Callithrix jacchus: one gene and its partners. The protein of the gene in region 3 purifies or fractionates together with the protein of the main gene of each other region. This does not show direct contact. Links are inferred from orthologs where the notes say so. Each region holds a gene or a part of one and is shown on either strand. Other genes may lie near its edges.

What was found. Proteins that work in one complex are often made in the same cells at the same time.
Region 1: the proteins of SRPK2 (region 3) and ZNF638 purify together in Homo sapiens (affinity purification with mass spectrometry; 3 studies listed by BioGRID and IntAct, with this or other methods). This does not show direct contact. The link is inferred for Callithrix jacchus from reciprocal best matches to the Homo sapiens genes SRPK2 and ZNF638.
Region 2: the proteins of SRPK2 (region 3) and RBM27 purify together in Homo sapiens (affinity purification with mass spectrometry; 3 studies listed by BioGRID and IntAct, with this or other methods). This does not show direct contact. The link is inferred for Callithrix jacchus from reciprocal best matches to the Homo sapiens genes SRPK2 and RBM27.

The regions. Positions count from the first base shown.
Region 1 is NC_133515.1:42,489,390-42,495,457, forward strand, and holds part of ZNF638 (zinc finger protein 638), read right to left. Parts: intron 5,824-6,068; coding exon 4,596-5,823; intron 4,009-4,595; coding exon 3,943-4,008; intron 2,538-3,942; coding exon 1,583-2,537; intron 577-1,582; coding exon 535-576; intron 137-534; coding exon 32-136; intron 1-31.
Region 2 is NC_133503.1:44,766,168-44,772,235, forward strand, and holds part of RBM27 (RNA-binding protein 27), read left to right. Parts: intron 1-2,636; coding exon 2,637-2,781; intron 2,782-4,301; coding exon 4,302-4,455; intron 4,456-6,068. UniProt on the Homo sapiens protein: May be involved in the turnover of nuclear polyadenylated (pA+) RNA.
Region 3 is NC_133512.1:75,524,035-75,530,102, forward strand, and holds part of SRPK2 (SRSF protein kinase 2), read right to left. Parts: intron 5,666-6,068; coding exon 5,500-5,665; intron 4,343-5,499; coding exon 4,317-4,342; intron 2,349-4,316; coding exon 2,102-2,348; intron 1,543-2,101; coding exon 1,060-1,542; intron 1-1,059. UniProt on the Homo sapiens protein: Serine/arginine-rich protein-specific kinase which specifically phosphorylates its substrates at serine residues located in regions rich in arginine/serine dipeptides, known as RS domains and is involved in the phosphorylation of SR splicing factors and the regulation of splicing.

The DNA of each region.
Region 1 (6,068 bases), on a different chromosome or scaffold from region 3:
TTTCCTTCCCATTCAAACAATCCTGCGTTACCTTCACTCATCCGGAAGGCCTCTTCACCTTTTCCTGGTTCTGTCAGAACAGCCTTTTCTGATGGCAGAGTTTTCCCAATTCTAACTCTCTTGGTTGAAGTTTTAGCTTTAAAAAGAAAGTCTTAATTTATTGCTCTTTCACAGTATTTAAATTGTTTTAATCATATTCTATTATCTGAATAACAATTTCAACATTATAATTTTTTTTTTTCAAAATATACCCAATTTTGGGTGGGAAGACTACTGCTATTATAAAATAGAAGAATTCTAATTTAAGAATATTCAAGAACAGAAAATCAAACACCACATGTTCTCACTCACAGGTGGGTGATGAAAGATGAGAACACATGGACACAGGGAGGGGAGCACTACACATTGGGGTCTATTGGGGGAAATAGGGGAGGGACAGCGGGGGGTGGAGAGCTGGGGAGAGATAGCATGGGGAGAAACGCCAGATATAGGTGAAGGGGAGGAAGGCAGCAAATCACATTGCCACGTGTGTACCTATGCAACAATCTTGCATGTTCTTCACATGTACCCCAAAACCTAAAATGCAATAAAGAAAAAAAAATATTCAGTTTAATCTAAACATTTCCTTTTGTTCCCAGTTACCATTTTCCAAAAACTATGCTTTTCTATCTTCTTTTCCCAGAGTGTTCTATGAATGTTTTTCTAATTTATTCCATAAGCCTGTGGGACCTTCCTAGTATTTTGTTCTTAGTTAAATTTTTTGAAAGGTTTTTTTTTCTTTTCTTCTTTTTGGAGACAAAGTGTCTCATTCACTGTTACCAAGGCTGGAGTGCAGTGGCACGACCATGACTTACCACAACCTCTACCTTCTGGGCTCAAGTGATATCTCGCATTAGTCTCCTAAGCATCTGGGACCACAGATCCATGTCACTGTCCCTGGCTCATTTTTTAATTTTTTTTTGTAGAGAGAAGAGTCTTGCTAGGTTGCCCAGACTGGTGCCGAACTCCTGGCCTCAAGCGATTCTCCTACCTTGGCCTCCCTAAGTGCAGTGCTGAGACAATAAGTAGAGCCACAACATTGGGCCTCAAGACATTCTTACTGGAAATTATTTTTATCTCCCTCAGGTTCAGAAAGTGAGCTGCCCTACTATTCTGTATCATTACAATATTACTTTAAAACAAAACAGTTCCTTTATAAATTGTTCTAAATCCTAAGTCTAAATAAAAACTGGGAGGCAATCTGATGTAAATATTCTTCTATTTATCAAAAGTTGTCTTTTCCCCACAATATAAATGTTTCATTTTCATTCCAATTCTAATTTGGCTACTTTAGTTTGTTTTCTGGTTTTTTTTTGTCATTCTTTCTTGAAGTATAACTTGGATTAAGTTCTGCTGTATAACTAAAAAACTGTGAAACTTGTATACAGTTCTTTGGATAATTTATTGTTGACTGTAGCTGTCTGTTGGCTTCTGAAACCAATACTGGGTGAAATTATTGGTAATGCCACAACATGTATTTTAAAATTAATTTTAAATGAAATCCCCTCATAAAACAGAAAGATTACTACTTCCAAGTATCTACCTGCTAAGCGTCTTTCAATCATGGTTTTTAAATCTTCTTCTGTAACATTCTCATTTACTGGAGCCACTTGGGACAAGGCTTCAAGTTTTGTCTTTTTTGTGTCCACAGCTCTCTTCTTTCTATTCCCTTTTTTATCTGTGGGACTGTCATTTTTGCTTTGTGTTAACTCAACTTTTAAATCATTATCTCCATCCTCCTCCTCTCCAACTTCATCAACAGTAACAAAATTAAGTTCTTCTTTTAGGTTGTTAAAATCAGCCAGAGAGTCTTCATCCTCTTCAGTTACTTCATCCAAAGTCACTAAATGCAAATCACTGCTGTCATCTTGTATTTCATCTACAGTAACTAAAGTAGAAGGGTCTTCAGGCATCTGAGAAGAAATGAAGCCAATAGATTCCCTTACAGTGTCTCCTTCATTTCCTTTTGTATTTAAAGTGGCAAAAGTTATGTCTGCTGACTCATTCAAAGGTAGCTCTTCCACTTCTCCAATTTCATCCACAGTTACCAAGCGCTCCTGTTTGAGAAGATCTTGTTCTTCAGCCACTGACAGAACAGTAACATCTTTAGGTTCACTGTGGGAAATGCAATCATCTTGGTCAATTAATTCATCTAATGTAAAAAGTGAATTTGAATTTTTTACCATTTCTTCCATATTTAGTTCTTCTTCATCAATTACTTCATCCACAGTGACTAGAGCTTGTGCTAGATGTGCAGCTGCATCTTCTTCTTCCCCAATCTCATCCAATGTTACAAAAGATAGTTCTCCCTCAACACCACGAGGGGCTGAAGTTTTCCCCTTTTTCTTCTTTAGGTTAAGTTCAGAGAACGGAACATTTCTGAGAGCTTCTTTCTTTTTTCCCTTTAGTGGATTCTGCTTGGCTTGAGAAGGATTCACTTCTTCTATAACCTCATCCACAGTAACAAATTCATCCAAATTAAATGGAAATAATGGTTCCTGTTGGAAAGTTAAAAATCATAGTATTGTAAACAAACTTTGAACACTGCCTAGATTCCAAATAGTCACAATAACTGTGCATGCAGATCATCTGGGAGAATTTCGGTGCTAATTAAGTTTTCTAAAGGCTAAAATTAAGAGTTGTTTTTTTTTAAAGCCCCATAAATGACTTAGCTATAATTCACAAAGTGTAAGCCAAAGGTAAAGCCCTAACAATATCGACCTTTCCACTTCTTAAATTCACACATTTTCTAAATGATGAGTTTTGAAGTATGACACATAAAAATATTACATTTAAAGCATTTGTCAAACAATATAAAGGATTTACTATTCCATATGTCAAACATCTAACAAGTGTTCTAGGAGACTTACTGGACCTCTAAAAGAACCTCCAATATAGTTAGAAAGTAAACAGCTAATTAGACTGTTTCATTTATCACTGTATATTGGTTACACATTAATTAACTATAGAATACATATTTTAATAAATACAATGGTTACATTTTGAGAAAGTTGTATGGAAAAGTTGTTAAGACTCAATATCTAATATAATTGTATTTGAAAACAAAGTATCTGTAATTTTTAAAATACTTCCAATAGTAAAGAAGATAAATTCCTGCCAGGGCTCCTGTACATTTTAGTATGTTATCAGTGATCAACTGCTATTATATATAACAATGACATTAGAATACGAAGGAATCTTGTAATAGGTAGAATTATCTGCAAACAGTTGTAGTACCAACTTAACAAAGCAAAATGAAGTAGCCGTAATTCTTATTTCTGCTTTAAACTAATAACGTTTCTCCTTGCCCCAAATACAGAGGCACAAATTCATCCCCTACCAGATAATAAAAGTAAAATGACTGAAACAATATTCTATGAATGGTAAAAATCTGAAATACTCAACAACCAAACATAAAATATGTTTGTTTGGCAACAGAATGTGGTACCAGTAAAGTAAATCTTACAGACCATCCACCATTCACTTAAGGTTAAATTAGAGCCAAAAGAATAACCTGTTTTAACAAAATTAGGATGAATCAAGTCAAATGTCAGTCATTCTCCTTCACATTTATGATTTTTTTTTTCTGTGTCTACAACCTATTCCTGTCAGTAGGAGATTGGAGGTATTTTCCTATTCTACTCTTTTACTGTCCCCATATAACATTTTGCTCCTTCACCAAGAACACAAGGTGCTTAGGCTAACTCAAGGTCAGAAAGTAAATTAATGGTAGGATTAGAGGTAAATTAAAAATAAAACATCTCATTCCTATCCCTTGCTTTATACCTCTACCTCTCTAACATTTGTATTAACTATTATAAGGCAGACACACGTTGTAAGATAGATGCACTGTGTTATGGAGCGATGAAAAAAAAGCGTTAGGGTCCATGATCTACTTTTTACCTCTTTAGATTTGGAACTTCTACCAGCAGCACTTTTAGAATTCTTAGTGTTTTGTCCAGCCAAAGTCTGAAATAGTAAATAAGAAATACAGAAAAACAGAATTTACAACCAGATTATTAAATGGTATTTTAAAAAACCCAGAAATAATTACCAAAATATAGTCAGTTATGCAAATATTTAACATATATACAAAGCTAAGTCAACAGTCATTAACAGTACAGGCACAGTCTCTACAAGTTGTAGTTAAATTCAGTTTTACTGATCTTTTCTTCCCACAATGTCTAGTTGGGCAGTCAGTGACCTGATAGAAGAAGGTTCAATTTAAGAGAGGAAACAGTTTTCCATTCAGAAGCAAAGTAGTAAATCACCTTAGGAGATTCACTGCAAATTTTTTTTTTTAATCAGTTATTTCTGACCAAACTTTTTCCAAATAATGCTTTTCAAACCTGTCAATAAATTATGAACTCAAGCTTAACATTCTAAATGCATACTGGCTTAAACAATGGAATCATTTAAGAAAAGAAAATGGAAGCTTCTGGGGTGGAGTGAGGAGATGAAAGTATTAAACAAAATTACATCTCCTACTCCATAGCTACACCAGCAGAGCTAATCACTTCAAAGACACACTGAGCCATTCTTCCTACCCTCCTCACCTTATTGTTGCTGTCATCCCGCTTCACGATGGAAGGTCTAGCTTCTGTTTCCTGAGATTGTTTTGTTATATCCCTGTAATCCAGTTTAGAAAGCTTGCCTTGCAGGGCTGAGATCTTTCCACTGCCTCCTCTGGTAAAACTGCTCTGAGTGGGTTTCAATTTACTGCTTTCTGCCAAGCCTGACCTGGCACTTGTAGGTTTAAGTAGAGCAAATTCCTTGGCCGAAAGTTTCTTTTCAGCATTTATTTGATCTCTAAGCGCAGATTTTAAAAAACTTTTCTGATTTTCAGGTTTCGAAGCTGTAGCTTTTGCCTTAGGAGAAGAGACTACAACAGCCTTGATGCTTGATTTATTGCTAGATACACTGGATACTGCCAGAATACTAGTCTTACTAGTTTCATCAGGATTAGTAGCCTGACCCACTCCTTTATTTGGGTATGTCTTGAATAAAGTATTTTCTGCAGGCTTTTCTTTCACTGACGCCATCATCTTTTCCACCTTTTCTGCAACCATCCTACCTTCATTCTTTTCAGCCTTCTCTGTTCCTATTTGAAGATCCATTCTGATTTCCTTAGTTATATTAAATTCATTCTCCTCCTTTTCATCCATGTTACTTTTTTTTTCAGAAATACTCTTTTTGCCCACTGTCTTCTCATCCCCAGTGGAAACTCCTGGTACTAATGTCACAATACAAGCTGATGGCAATATTTCTGAAACAGTTTCAGGTTTTTCTACTTCGGCTATAGATTCTACCACAGACTGTGTAACTCCAGAAAAGAAATCTTCTGCTTCAGATGGAGATTCTTCTGTAACTCCTTTGATGTTCCTTTCTTCTATAAACACACTGTCAGATGGTAACAATGCTGTTTCAGGGTTAATAATTCCTGCGTCTTTCTTCTCCAAGTCACTGTTATACACCTGCTGATTTAAAGCACACTCCTCGGCATTTTCAGTGAATAGTTCAATACTGGCTGGAGTGGATGCTACAAGAGGAACTTCTTCTTTGACCTCCTCCCCTTGAGTTTCAACCTCCAATGTTTCCATAGCAAAGTCAGAATCACATGTTACTTTTTCAGGTTCTTCCTCACAAGGCTTCTCCTGTTGTACGAAAATTTCTGTTTGCATGTTGGGTATACTTTCTTCTTCGAGCTCATTAGGTTTAACAGAGGGACTATCAGTTGCTGTTTGGACCTCACTTTCATCAACTGGATTGTTTTTCAAGCCAGGGCTAAAAGTATTTAAAAACAAACAAAAAGAACACAAACAAAAACACAAACAAAAATCAAACTATGATGAGAATTCAACCATTATAAATAATCCTGTTGATGCCAATTGTTAAGACTTCCTGATGCATTAGTAATAAGCACTGGGAAATCCAACCAATCAGCATTAGGATGATTAAAATGTTTTGATGCAAATATGTAATATAAATTATGACTGTTGATATGTTCCTTTTGCACTTGTGATTATAGC
Region 2 (6,068 bases), on a different chromosome or scaffold from region 3:
GATAACCTCCTACCTACTCCCTCACTAAAAAGGTTGGTTAATGATGGTTAGTTTGATGGGATTCCATTTTTTTTTTTTTAACTGTTACAGATTTCCAGTATGTAATTTCAATATGAGTGACTGGCCATGGACTGCACTGACAATAGTTTTTGATTAATTTAATCATATGGCAAACATTCTCCTTTCTTTCTTTTTCTTCCCCCTTCCCTCTTACCTCTTCCTTCCTTCTTTCTTCCCCCTTCCCCCTTTCTGCTTCCTCCCCTTCTTCCTCCTTCTTCCCCCTTCTTCCCTCTTCTTCCCTCTTCTTTCACCTTCTTCCCTCTTCTTTCACCTTCTTTCCTCTTCTTCTCCCTTCCTTCCCCTTTCTCCTTTCCTTTCCTTGTCCCTTTCCTTTCTCCTTTCCTTTCCTTTCCTGAAACAGAGTCTGGCTCTGTTGCCTAGGTTGGAGTGCAGTGGCTCCATCTTGCTTCATTGCAACCTCTGCCTCCTGGATTCAAGTGATTCTCCTGCCTCTGCCTCCCAAGTAGCCGAGATTACAAGTGTGTGTCACCACACCCAGCTAATTTTTGTACTTTTAGTAGAGATGGGGTTCCACCATGTTGGCCAGGCAGGTCTTGAACTCCTGACCTCAGGTGATCCACCCATCTTGGCCTCTGAAAGTGCTGGAATTACAGGCGTGAGCCACTGCACCCAGCCTACCATTTTGCTGTTCTTTCTCTCTTAGTTTATTAATTCTTCTTTACTGCCATTAATAACACTATAAGAATGTGTGTGTGTGTGTGTATATGTGTGTGTGTGTATATATATATATAGATTGTGTGTGTGTGTGTGTGTGTATGTGTGTGTGTGTGTGTATATATATATATATATATATATTTTTTTTTTTTTTTTTTTTTTTTTTGGTGAGACAGAGTCTCCTTCTGTTGCCCAGGCTGGAGTGCAGTGGTGCAATCTAGGCTCACTGCAATCTCCACCTCCTGGGTTCAAGCAATTGACCTGGCTCAGCTGCCTGAGTAGCTGGGATTACAAGTGTGTGCCACTTGTAATACAAATTTTTGTATTTTTAGTAGAGACAGGATTTCACCATATTGGTCAGGCTGGTCTTGAACTCCTGACCTCAGGTAAATATGCTCACCTCAGCCTCTGGAAGTGTTGGGATTACTGGCACAAGTCACTATGCCTGGCCTCATGTATGTTATTGTTTCCCATATTTCTATTTTTATTCTCCTTTTACAAGGAAAAATACTGAGGCTTAGAGAGGTTTAAAGAACTTGCCCAAGGTCACACAGCTTTTAATTGGCAGAACTAGAATTCAAAGTAGAAGTAATGTTTTGTATAAAATAGGATTTCTTTGTTTTCTTGGGCAAGTCACTTAGCTTTAGCTATATCTCTTTCCTTTAATATGACACACTTAATTAAATTAAAAAATAAAGCATTAGGCAATGTTAGCTGGTAACAATAAAACTATTTAAGGAGAACATAATGGCATGTCAAATTCTAGAATGCTTTATGCCATCACAGTTGCTATCTTCTTCATTAGCCTTCTGAAAACACAAGTCTTGCAAGAGCAAGGATCTTGTTGGTTTTATTCACCAATGTATACCTAAGGTCTGCTATAGTTGCTGAGCTGTAAAATAGCTAAATGTTAAGTAAATGAATCCTTACATCATAATTTCCCTGACATAAAGATGAAATCAGATGTACCAACTCCCAACCATATCCCTACCCCAGCATTCAGCCTAGGTTATTCTTTGCTTAGTGGAGTTGCCAAAGTTAGGGGAAATACTTAGTATATAATAGGCATAGTTTTGTATTAATTTCCTTTTTGTTCAGTATACCTCTTCCTACCCAAAGGTTATTTATTGTATGGGCAGTTTCTTAGAGTATTTCTGCCAATTTATAGTATTGGCTTTGGATTTTCTTCCCAACTTTAAACCTATGGAAAATCAAAAGAAACACAGCAGACATCTGAATGCCTTCACGTAGATTTACCGGTAATACTTTGTTACCGTTGGGCATGAATGCTTTCTTGTGGGCTCTCTCTTCTCTTTATTCTCTACACTCACATTTTTTTGTTGAATCTCTTGAAAGTAAGTGGTAGATATAGAGAAACTTTAACCCCTTTACCTTATATGTAAGAATAAGACAGTCCTATATAAGCACAGTATTATTGCCATAAAATCATAATTCCATAATATGTTATCCTTATGATGTAGTCAAATTCTTGTTGAATCCTACCAGGAGGCAAATAATGTCCATTAATGGTGCTAAGTTTGATTGCTTGTATAAAGTGATAATTGTTAGAGCTCTCCATTGTAAATATAATTTTTGGAGTGATATTTTGTCACTGTATAAGTATTTTATTTTCCAATAGCCTTTCACCAATATATTTTTTATCTATTGCTCATCCATGCCTGAGTCAATGATTACATCAAGGTTAACTTTGAGTTTTGAAACATGGATTTCTATTTTTTATAGAAAAACACATTTGTGACTTTTTCTTGCTGTTAGGCATTTCTAAAAGAGAAATGATAGTAGTTGAAATATTCATAGTACTATTTAGCTTTTATACTAAATATTATTTAATCATTGAGATTGCTGAACAACTTAGTAATTTGAATTTTTGTTTCCAACAGCTGCTAACATTGTGATCCAGACTGAACCACCAGTTCCTGTTTCGATTAATAGCAACATAACCAGAGTAGTTCTAGAACCAGATAGCCGAAAAAGAGCCGTGAGTGGTTTGGAAGGCCCACTCACAAAGAAACCTTGGCTGGGAAAGTAAGATAATTTGCTAATTAGTAACATCTAATTGTTATTATTGTTGTTTGCATTACTAAATTCATAAACTTTGTCATTAATGATTTTCAAACTAAGTGTCTCAAAGTTAGGGTTCCAGGAGACATGTTTAGAATGTCGTGAAAATTAAAAAGTTAACAATATTCATAATAGTTTTTTTTTTTTTGAGACAGTCTTGCTCTTGTCGCCCAAGCTGGAGTGCAATGGCTCGATCTTGGCTCACCACAACCTCCGCCTCCAGGGTTCAAGCAATTTTCCTGCCCCAGCCTCCTGAGTAGCTGGGATCACAGGTGCCCACCACCGTATCTGGCTAATTTTTTGTAATTTTAGTAGAGACAGTTTCACCATGTTGGTCAGGCTGGTCTGGAACTCCTGACCTCAGGTGATCCACCAGCCTCAGCCTCCCAAAGTGCTAAGATTATAGGAGTGAGCTACCGCACCTGGCCCATAATAGGTATTTCTAATTTGTAACTACCTATTTCTATGCCTAACCAAATATTAAAAATTACTAAGGCACTGGCAGTGGATAGAAAAGAAGAAAAAAAAATGAAATAAATGGTAAAAAAAAAAAAAAGTTTAATACGTTTGCAGAAGTTGAAAAATATGCCATTAAAGATGATATTCTAGCCAGGCATGATGGCTCACGTCTGTAATCCCAGCACTTTGGGAGGCTGAGATGGGCAGATCACCTGAGGTCAGGAGTTTGAGACCAGCCTGACCAACATGGAGAAATTCCATCTCTACTAAAAATACAAAATTAGCCAGGCATGGTGGTGAATGCCTGTAATCCCAGCTACTTGGGAGGCTGAGGCAGAATAATTGCTTGAACCTGGGAGACAGAGGTTGTAGTGAGCTGAGATCGTGCCACTGCACTTCAGCCTGGGCAACAAGAGCAAAACTCCATCTCAAAAAAAAAAAAAAGAAAAAAAAGATGATATTCTAGCCTTACTTAGACTCCTTGATAATTGTGGTATTCTTTTTGGCATATGATTTTAAGCTTCAGTTGGACCTTTTCTTTTGATGATCTTTTGCGTTCACCTTTATCTTCAACTTTTTTTATTCTTGGGATAAGAACGATGTGAAAATTGCTTAGTAATTTCTGAAGAATGTTAAGGGCTAACAAGAGGCACTTTAAAAAATTAATTAATTAATTATATAGAGACAGGGTCTTACTATGTTGCCCAGACTGATCTGGAACCCCTGGGCTCAAGCATTTCTCCAGCCTTAGCCTCTCAGAGTGCTGGCATTATAGGCATGAGCCACTGCACCCAGTCTCTAACCTGTTTCTTGATGTTAATATATTTTCTGTGGTTTGAATTTTGAATATAATGTTTCATAGGATTTTGAAAAAATTTTCTGGGATTACAGGTGTGAGCCACCATGCCCAGCAACAAAAGGCACTTAAAAAATTATACATATAAAACTTAAATTCTTGGTGGTTATATCTCTTGGCTAGGCATGAAGTAAGAGAATTAACCAAGATATATTAATCTTCCTTTTAGGCAAGGAAATAACAATCAAAATAAACCGGGGTTCTTACGAAAGAATCAGTATACAAACACCAAATTAGAAGTCAAGAAAATCCCTCAGGAATTGAACAACATTACCAAGCTCAATGAACACTTCAGCAAATTTGGAACTATTGTTAATATCCAGGTAAACGTGGCTATGTCAGTGACAGAATCCAGGCATTTTATGAGTCTTGGAAATATTTCTGTCAGCTCACCTTGCTTAAATGAGTCAGTGGTTATTCTGATCATTTGTATACCCACTTTTATGATGGACTTGTTAATTCTTGTGAATTAACAAGTTTGTTCTTGTGAATTCATTTGGTTCTTTAGTGCAGTCTCTTCTTGAATGAGAATGGGTAGTTACTGTATTTTTATTCATAGTTCTATCTCAGAAAAAATGACTTTTTTAATATCTGAGTTAATATAACTAGGTAGCTGATATTTTTGGTAATGTTCAAGATTATAATTTTGTCAACTGACCTTTTATATTGTGGTAAAATAGTAGTTGGTTGAGGATGGTTCTAATGTTTAGAATTTTAGGCAGTGTAATGTGTAATCCAAGATCAAATAAATCATAGCTTTGTATTTCACTGTCTACTTGTTAGTTATTTTAATTTGTGAATTTATGGTTGGGTGTTATGTTGTCATTGAGAGTACTGGAAGGCTAGATTAAGTTTGAATTTTAGTCTGTTATCCCTGATACTTAAGTGTTGTCATCAAACCAAAATAAGCTGAGTTAAAGAAGATGGTGTTGTGGAAGTTGGTATTTCAAAGAATTGAACCAAAGTGGTCTTTTTTTGTTGTTGTTGTTGTTTTTTGAGATAGAGTCTCACTCAGGCTAAAGTGCAGTGGTGGGATCTCAGTTCACCCAGGTTCAAGTGATTCTTCTGCCTCAACCTCCTGAATAGCTGGGACTACAGGCATGCGCTACCACACCCAGCTAATTTTTTTGTATTTTTAATAGTGGTGGGGTTTCACCATGTTGGCCAGGCTGGTGTCAATCTCCTGACCTCAGGTGATCCACCCAGCTCATCCTCCCAAAGTGCTGGGATTACAGACATGAGCCATCACACCTGGCCTTTTTTTATATTTTGAGACAGGGTCTCGCTCTGTTGCCCAGGCTGTAGTGCAGTCATGCAGTTTTGGCTCACTGCAGCTTCTGACTCCTGGGCTCAAGCAGTCCTCCCACTGTAGCCTCCTGAGTAGCTGGGACCCCAGGCACACACCACCATGCCTGGCTATGCCTGGCTATGCCTGGCTAATTTTGCATGCATGCGTGCGTGCGTGTGTGCATGTGTATTGTGCTGGTTTTAAACTCCTGGACTCAAGTGATTCATCCACTTTAGCCTCCCAAAGTGCTGGGATTATAGGCATGATCTACTATGCCTGGCCTTATCTTTTGATTTAAAGCTATACTGTTTTTATTTATTTATATGGAACAACATGTATATACACACCCACATTCTCTTTTTAAAAATGCTTCATACAGGGCCAGATGCAGTGGCTCACACCTGTAATAGTAGCACTTTGGGAAGCCAAGCTGGGTGGATCACTAGAGGCCAGGAGTTTGAGTCCAGCCTGCCAACATGGTGAAACCCTGTCTCTATTTAAAGTACAAAAAGTAGCCACCTTTATTCCCAGCTACTTGGGAGGCTGAGGCAGGAGAAATCACTTGAACCTGGGAGGTGGAGATTGCAGTAAGTTGAGATCCTGCCACTGCAGTGTAGCCTGAGTGACAGAGCAAGAGACTGTCTCAAA
Region 3 (6,068 bases):
CCTGGGCGACAGACCAAGACTCTATCTCAAAAAAATAAAAACTTTCACTAAGAGAAAAATTTAACTGCAACAGCAACAATAAATCTGGATAAGGTACATCTCACTACTGCCCTTTCTCAGAAATTAACCTACACTCTATGTAAGCACCTTCAAACACTCCCTATAAAGGGGAATAGGAGCTGACCACGTCCAGCCAAGTGAAGAAAACACATCCTTAGGAGGATTCATCATAGCCAGTTCTTAACAAAGCCAGCTCACTCCTTATCGTGCAATTCCAGCCTGCTGGAACCAAGGGGCTGCAGAATGTCTTGGACTGTTGGCAGGGGTGGCTCATCAATTACTCACTGTGTGTTAAACAGTCTTGACAGTAGAGGGAGCCCAGGAGGTTTCAGAGCTTTCCCACCTTGAGCCAGAATGGAAACCAACTGAGTTACCCAGTTTTCACACACCAGAGTCACTTGGCATTCACTCCCAAAATAAGGGTCTAAATAAGTCAAGGCTTCTTAGGTAGACAAGAACACAAGAGCCAATCTATCATCTGTCATCACATTTAAATCCATGCCAATTCCTTGAAATTCACAATCCTGGGTGGGTTATCAATAACAGGGTCCTATAATCAGGAACAACTATGAAAAGACAATATGACACTTCTTTCCCAACAGAGCCAAAGAGCAGGCATACTTTTCTTGAATAGAAAAACAAAACAAAAACGAAATACAATCATAACAGATGCAAGATACAAATTATACTACACATTCTAGAAAGCTACAGGTGTAAGTTGCTAAAACTGGAAGGTTTCTGCAAATGATGCTGCTGACTGAATATATTAAAAATGACAACTGGTCAGAAATAAGATTTGGTATCAGAGAGCGAGAGATAGCCTAGTGGCACAGAATGTACATTTAAATCACATTACTTGTTCCTGAGTATAAAAGTAATAAAAATGATTAGTGCAAGCATATAGGGGTTGGTCACTTTCAGCCAATTCCTTCATAGCATTTGTTAAAGGCACACCCCGGGAGTCAGTGATGGCAGACAGCTGATGAGAAGAACACTTACCTTTTGGCAAATCCCCAGTACTGGAGGCTGAAACCGTCCTGCTTCTGTCATGGGAAGGACTGCTTTCCTCTTGCTCAGTAAGTGGTGATCCCTCAGAAAGCACAGAACCGCAGGCCACAGGTTCTAAGGATCCAGAGAACAATGAGGTGGAAAACTCTGGAAACTGTGACTCGGGAATTTTATGCCGTCCATTTGGCAATTCACCATTGAATTGTTCATAGGAGCTGCTATATGTGTAATCACTTTCTGCATTTGGCTCATCAAGATTATATTCCTCAGGATTTGGGCAATCTTCTTCATCATCCTCTTCATCGTCCAGTTGCTGCTCCAATAAGAACGGGCCATTCTCAATATGGCCATTGGTTTTAGGTGATTCTATCCACGTAGGGTCTATGTTTGCAAGTTCCTGATCTACATCATCATCATCTTTTTCAATGTTTTCTTTCTCAGTGTCTTCTTTCTCTTCCTGGTCCTCGGCTTCACCTTAAGAAGTTGATGGGTCAAGAATTAGAACTTGTTACTCTCCTTAATACAACCTCACATCTCATCAATAAAATACATTTTGAATGTGCTTAACTTATGCACCTCATAGTAAACACCTCTCAGCTTTTGGAGTAAAACCTTCAAGTTTTCAAAATCTCATTTTTGGTTCATTAATAATTGGCCTGCTCTTATAAGAAAAAGTTAGCTTTGGGAGAAAAAAACTCTTTCTAAATAAAGCTGCACTTCCATTTCCACCCTCTACAATCTTCAGAAATAGATTTGTGGTGTACTACAGTTAGGTAAAAAGTTAATGACAAAATAAAGCACCATCTTTAGCATGATAGAAACATGGTGTTTCTCAGACATTCTACATTTTTAAAAACTATTTTGAAATGTTGTATTTCTGGCATACAGTTCACAAATGAATTATAAGGATGTTTCCCGAATTTCCCAATAGAGACTTGGAGAGAATCATCCTTGCCATCTGAAGCAGCAGCACAAATCAGCCCCCATTGTAACCTGAGGACCCCATGCAGCCCAGGCTCTTGGCCCCACTAACCGTTGTCCTTTGTGGTCTCTGCCTCGGCTGCCTCCTCTAATCCTGTTGTTTTTAGTTTCACCTCTGGGCCATATTCACTATCCTGCTCATTGGAAGGTGCAGCTGAAGTGATGTTTTCTTCTATTATTTTCCTTTCAGCTTCTCGCTCCAATTCTTCTATCTCCTGCAGGCGTTTTTCCAATAACTCAGCCTGCCTCTTCTGTTTCTTTTTCAGTTTTTTCTTTTTGTTTTTAGATATTTTTCCTATCTATAACATGTTAAGAAAAGACCACAGGTCAGTTTTCTTCTTTTTAAAGCACACATGATAGTATAACTGCTGGCAGCATGGCAACTAACAAAAAACTCCGCTTTCTCATGCCATATTCTACTAAAATCCCAAACCCAGACATCCACCTCATGGTAAGGCTTATGGTAAAATCAAAGGGAAAGCAGTGCTGACTGATATCACATGCTAGGTCTACTACCAGGTCCTGCCCTCAGAGGGATACAGCTTAAATCCAGTAAGCCTTCACCATTCAAACTCTCAGAGAACTGAAGTCCAAAATTCTCTTGGCCTTAGAGAAGCTCCTCTTGGAAGTTTTATTTGCTGCCCTCTATATACAAAATAACAACATCCCATCTCCTCACTACCAAAAATGAAACAGGTGCCCAAGCAGGTGTATGTCACTGTGTTTGGGTCTCACATATGTCTTGGAAGCTCTTACCAGCCAAGACAACATGAACTGTAAGAGATAAGCCTAAGCAGCAATGTGAAAGAAGAAAAAGCCACAGCTTTTGTTTGCCTCCCATCATGGCCAGCTGACTTGCAAAGCACTGGCAAGGAGAGCCTCCAATCCTTCATACAGTAAACTCAGGTGGCTTGAGCCAGGGAAGAACTATGGGAAACAACTTGGGCTCCTCAGCAAGCCAGGAAGCCTAATTATTACAGCTCCCTCTTGTTCCAGAACTTACGTTCCAAATCAAGGGTTGTCTCAGTAAACATAGTGTTTTCTTGTTATTTTGTTTTTTGTTGTTGTTTTCTTTTTCTTTGAGATGGGGTCTTGTTCGGTTGCATAGGCTGGAGTGCACTGGCGTGACTTTGGCTCACTGCTACCTCCATTTCCTGGGTTCAAGTGTTTCTCATGCCTCAGCCTCCCATGTAGCTGGGAGTACAGGTACATGCCATCATGCCCGGCTGATTTTTTTTTTTGAGACAGAGTCTCACTCAGTCACCCAGGATGGAGTCCAATGGCCTAATCTCAGCTCATTGCAACCTCCCCCTCCTGGGCTCAACAGATTCTCCTGCCTCACCCTCCTGAGTAGCTGAGATTACAGGCATCCGCCAGCACACTCGGCTAGTTTTTGCATTTTTTGGTAGAGACAGGGTTTCACCATGTTAGCCAGGGTGGTCTCGAAGTCCTGACCTCAAGAGATCTGCTGGCCTCAGCCTCCCAAAATGTTGGAATTACAGGTGTCAGCCACCACACCTGGTACCTAGTACTGACATAGTGTTTTGACAGGACTACAAACTATCTCTTTCTTATTTAACATCTGGCTGGAAAAAAATTAGAACAACAGCTTCGGAAAAGGTAACTTAGCAGCCAATCAGAAATAATATAAAGTGGTTTTGAAATAAAAGTGCTTCAACTCCACCACCTCACATTTCATTAGACTTGGCCAACCGTAGTCCAGAAAATGCATAAAGAAGACAATCATTGAAAGGCTCTAACCATTCCAATTCTGCAGAGATCCCTAAAACTTAACGAGACAGGCCAGGTGTGATGGCTCATGCATGTAATCTCAGAACTTTGAGAAGCCAAGATGGGAAGATCACTTGAGGTCAGGAATTCGAGACCAGCCTGACCAACATGGTGAAACTCCATCTCTACTAAAAGTACAAAAATTAGCTGAGCATGGTGGTGGGTGCCTGTAATCCCAGCTACTCGGAAGGCTGAGGCAGGAGAATCGTTTGAACCTGGGAGGGGGAGGCTGCAGTGAGCCAAGATCGCAACACTGCATGCCAGCCTGAGCAGTAATGCAAGACTCAGTCACATACACACACAAAATCCAAAAAACACTTAACAAGACAGTAAGTCTTAAATATTTGAGGATACACAGCATTTATAAATGTGTCTACCCTTTAAATTAATATATACTACCACTTTTTAATAATTTGAACTGCTCAAACAGTTTCTTTTGCCATGGTGCATAAAAGTAATATGCGTTAAGTACTTACAGGTTTCTGCTGTGGAGCCGTACTCACTAAAATAAAATGAAACAAAATTGGTATTTAGCAGAAAACAGACACATACCTTCATGCAGGTCATTTGGATTGCAAAATGACATAATTATTATCTTTTAATGACTATCCAACTTCACAAACATATTAATCAGAGCTTCGTAATCACTGGGATCTAGAGAAAGTTTATGCAACTGAAACAAACAACGGACTCTTAAAATGCATAGCAGAAAAGTTGTTCATACTGAGCCATTTCTTTTATTTATCTAAAATGAAATACTAATACATCTCAAAAACAGTCAATCCCAAAGCACCAACAGATAGCTTAAGAAAATGGAAAATAATTCATACATATCACAGTCATTAAACCAAATTTGTTATAAATAAAATGAAATAAACAATTTAGATTAGATGTACATTTATATTTGAAATCTATTTTGCAAGCTTTCTACAATTTAAATCAAATACTGCAGTTGGTATGCAGCTAATATTCTAGAAATCACATGATTAAACCCTATCAGGGCCATAAGTTTGACAGTCTGGGTCCATGATCTAAACAACACCTGCAGTAGAGGAGATGTGAAGAGAGCCCCAGGCAGTCTCCAGAGTCTCAGCCCTTTACTATCTATGCTTGCCTGACAACACAAGGGCACAGACAATGTTGAAGATCCACAAAAGCACAGTCCACATTTCACTGCACCCCCACCAGAAATAAAGATATGCCAATACTCAGGTCACTTGGTCTTCTTCCCCCACCATCAGGCCTTTTCTAACTAACTCCAAATCCACTGATAAAACTCAGATTGACGTAGCTATGACAAATGGACAATAGGAATTACTGTAACATAACTGAAGCTAGAAAAATATTCTGATGACTAAAAGTCAGCTCCAGGAAAGCTGTTATTATGTTCTCCTCTGCAGAGAAGTGGGCAACAGAAAAAACTGTTCCAATATTAATGAAGCAGCAACTACAAATTTAAATGGCAAGTAATTCAAATATTAAAATATAATGTACCTGGGGCATTTTCCATCTCAAGAAAAGGGTGTAGTTATTTCCAGAAATTAAACTTTGCCAAAAATGTCCTTACATGTAACATTTGATTGAGAAACCTTCAACATACAACATTGCAAGCTTACAATACCTCAGACAGACTGAAATGAAGCTGGCTCAGTCCCTCACCTGCAGACCCTGAAGGAGGAGGAGCACCTGCTTTCTGCCACTCAGTGGCCTCAGCTGCCATTCTTCTCACATATGCATCATCCACACACATCAAGATGTTTTCTGGCTTTATGTCAGTATGAATGATTTTGCACTTACTGTGCAGATAATCTAATCCTTGAAGGACCTGGACATAGTAAAATTAAGAGAGAAGATAAGCTATTAATACCTCTTTATATAAGTTTTATTTATTTGAAAAGCATAAAATACAATGACAGGCTACCAAGTTTGATAAACACAAAAGGATATTTAGTAAAAATCTCCCTCCCATTCCTAACCTCATTGGAATCCAGCTCTCCTTCCCATAAGAAACCAGTGTATATCATTTCAGAGATTATGCTTGTGGAAGCAAATGCATCTATATACAGTTGAACCTTGAAGGTTTGAACTGCATGGGTCCACTTATACACAGATGTTCTTCCACCTCTGCACTCCTGAGACAGCAAGACCAACCCCTCAGCCTACTCAACATGAGGATGATGAGGATGAAGACCTTTATGATGATCGACTTCCACTTAATGAATAAATGG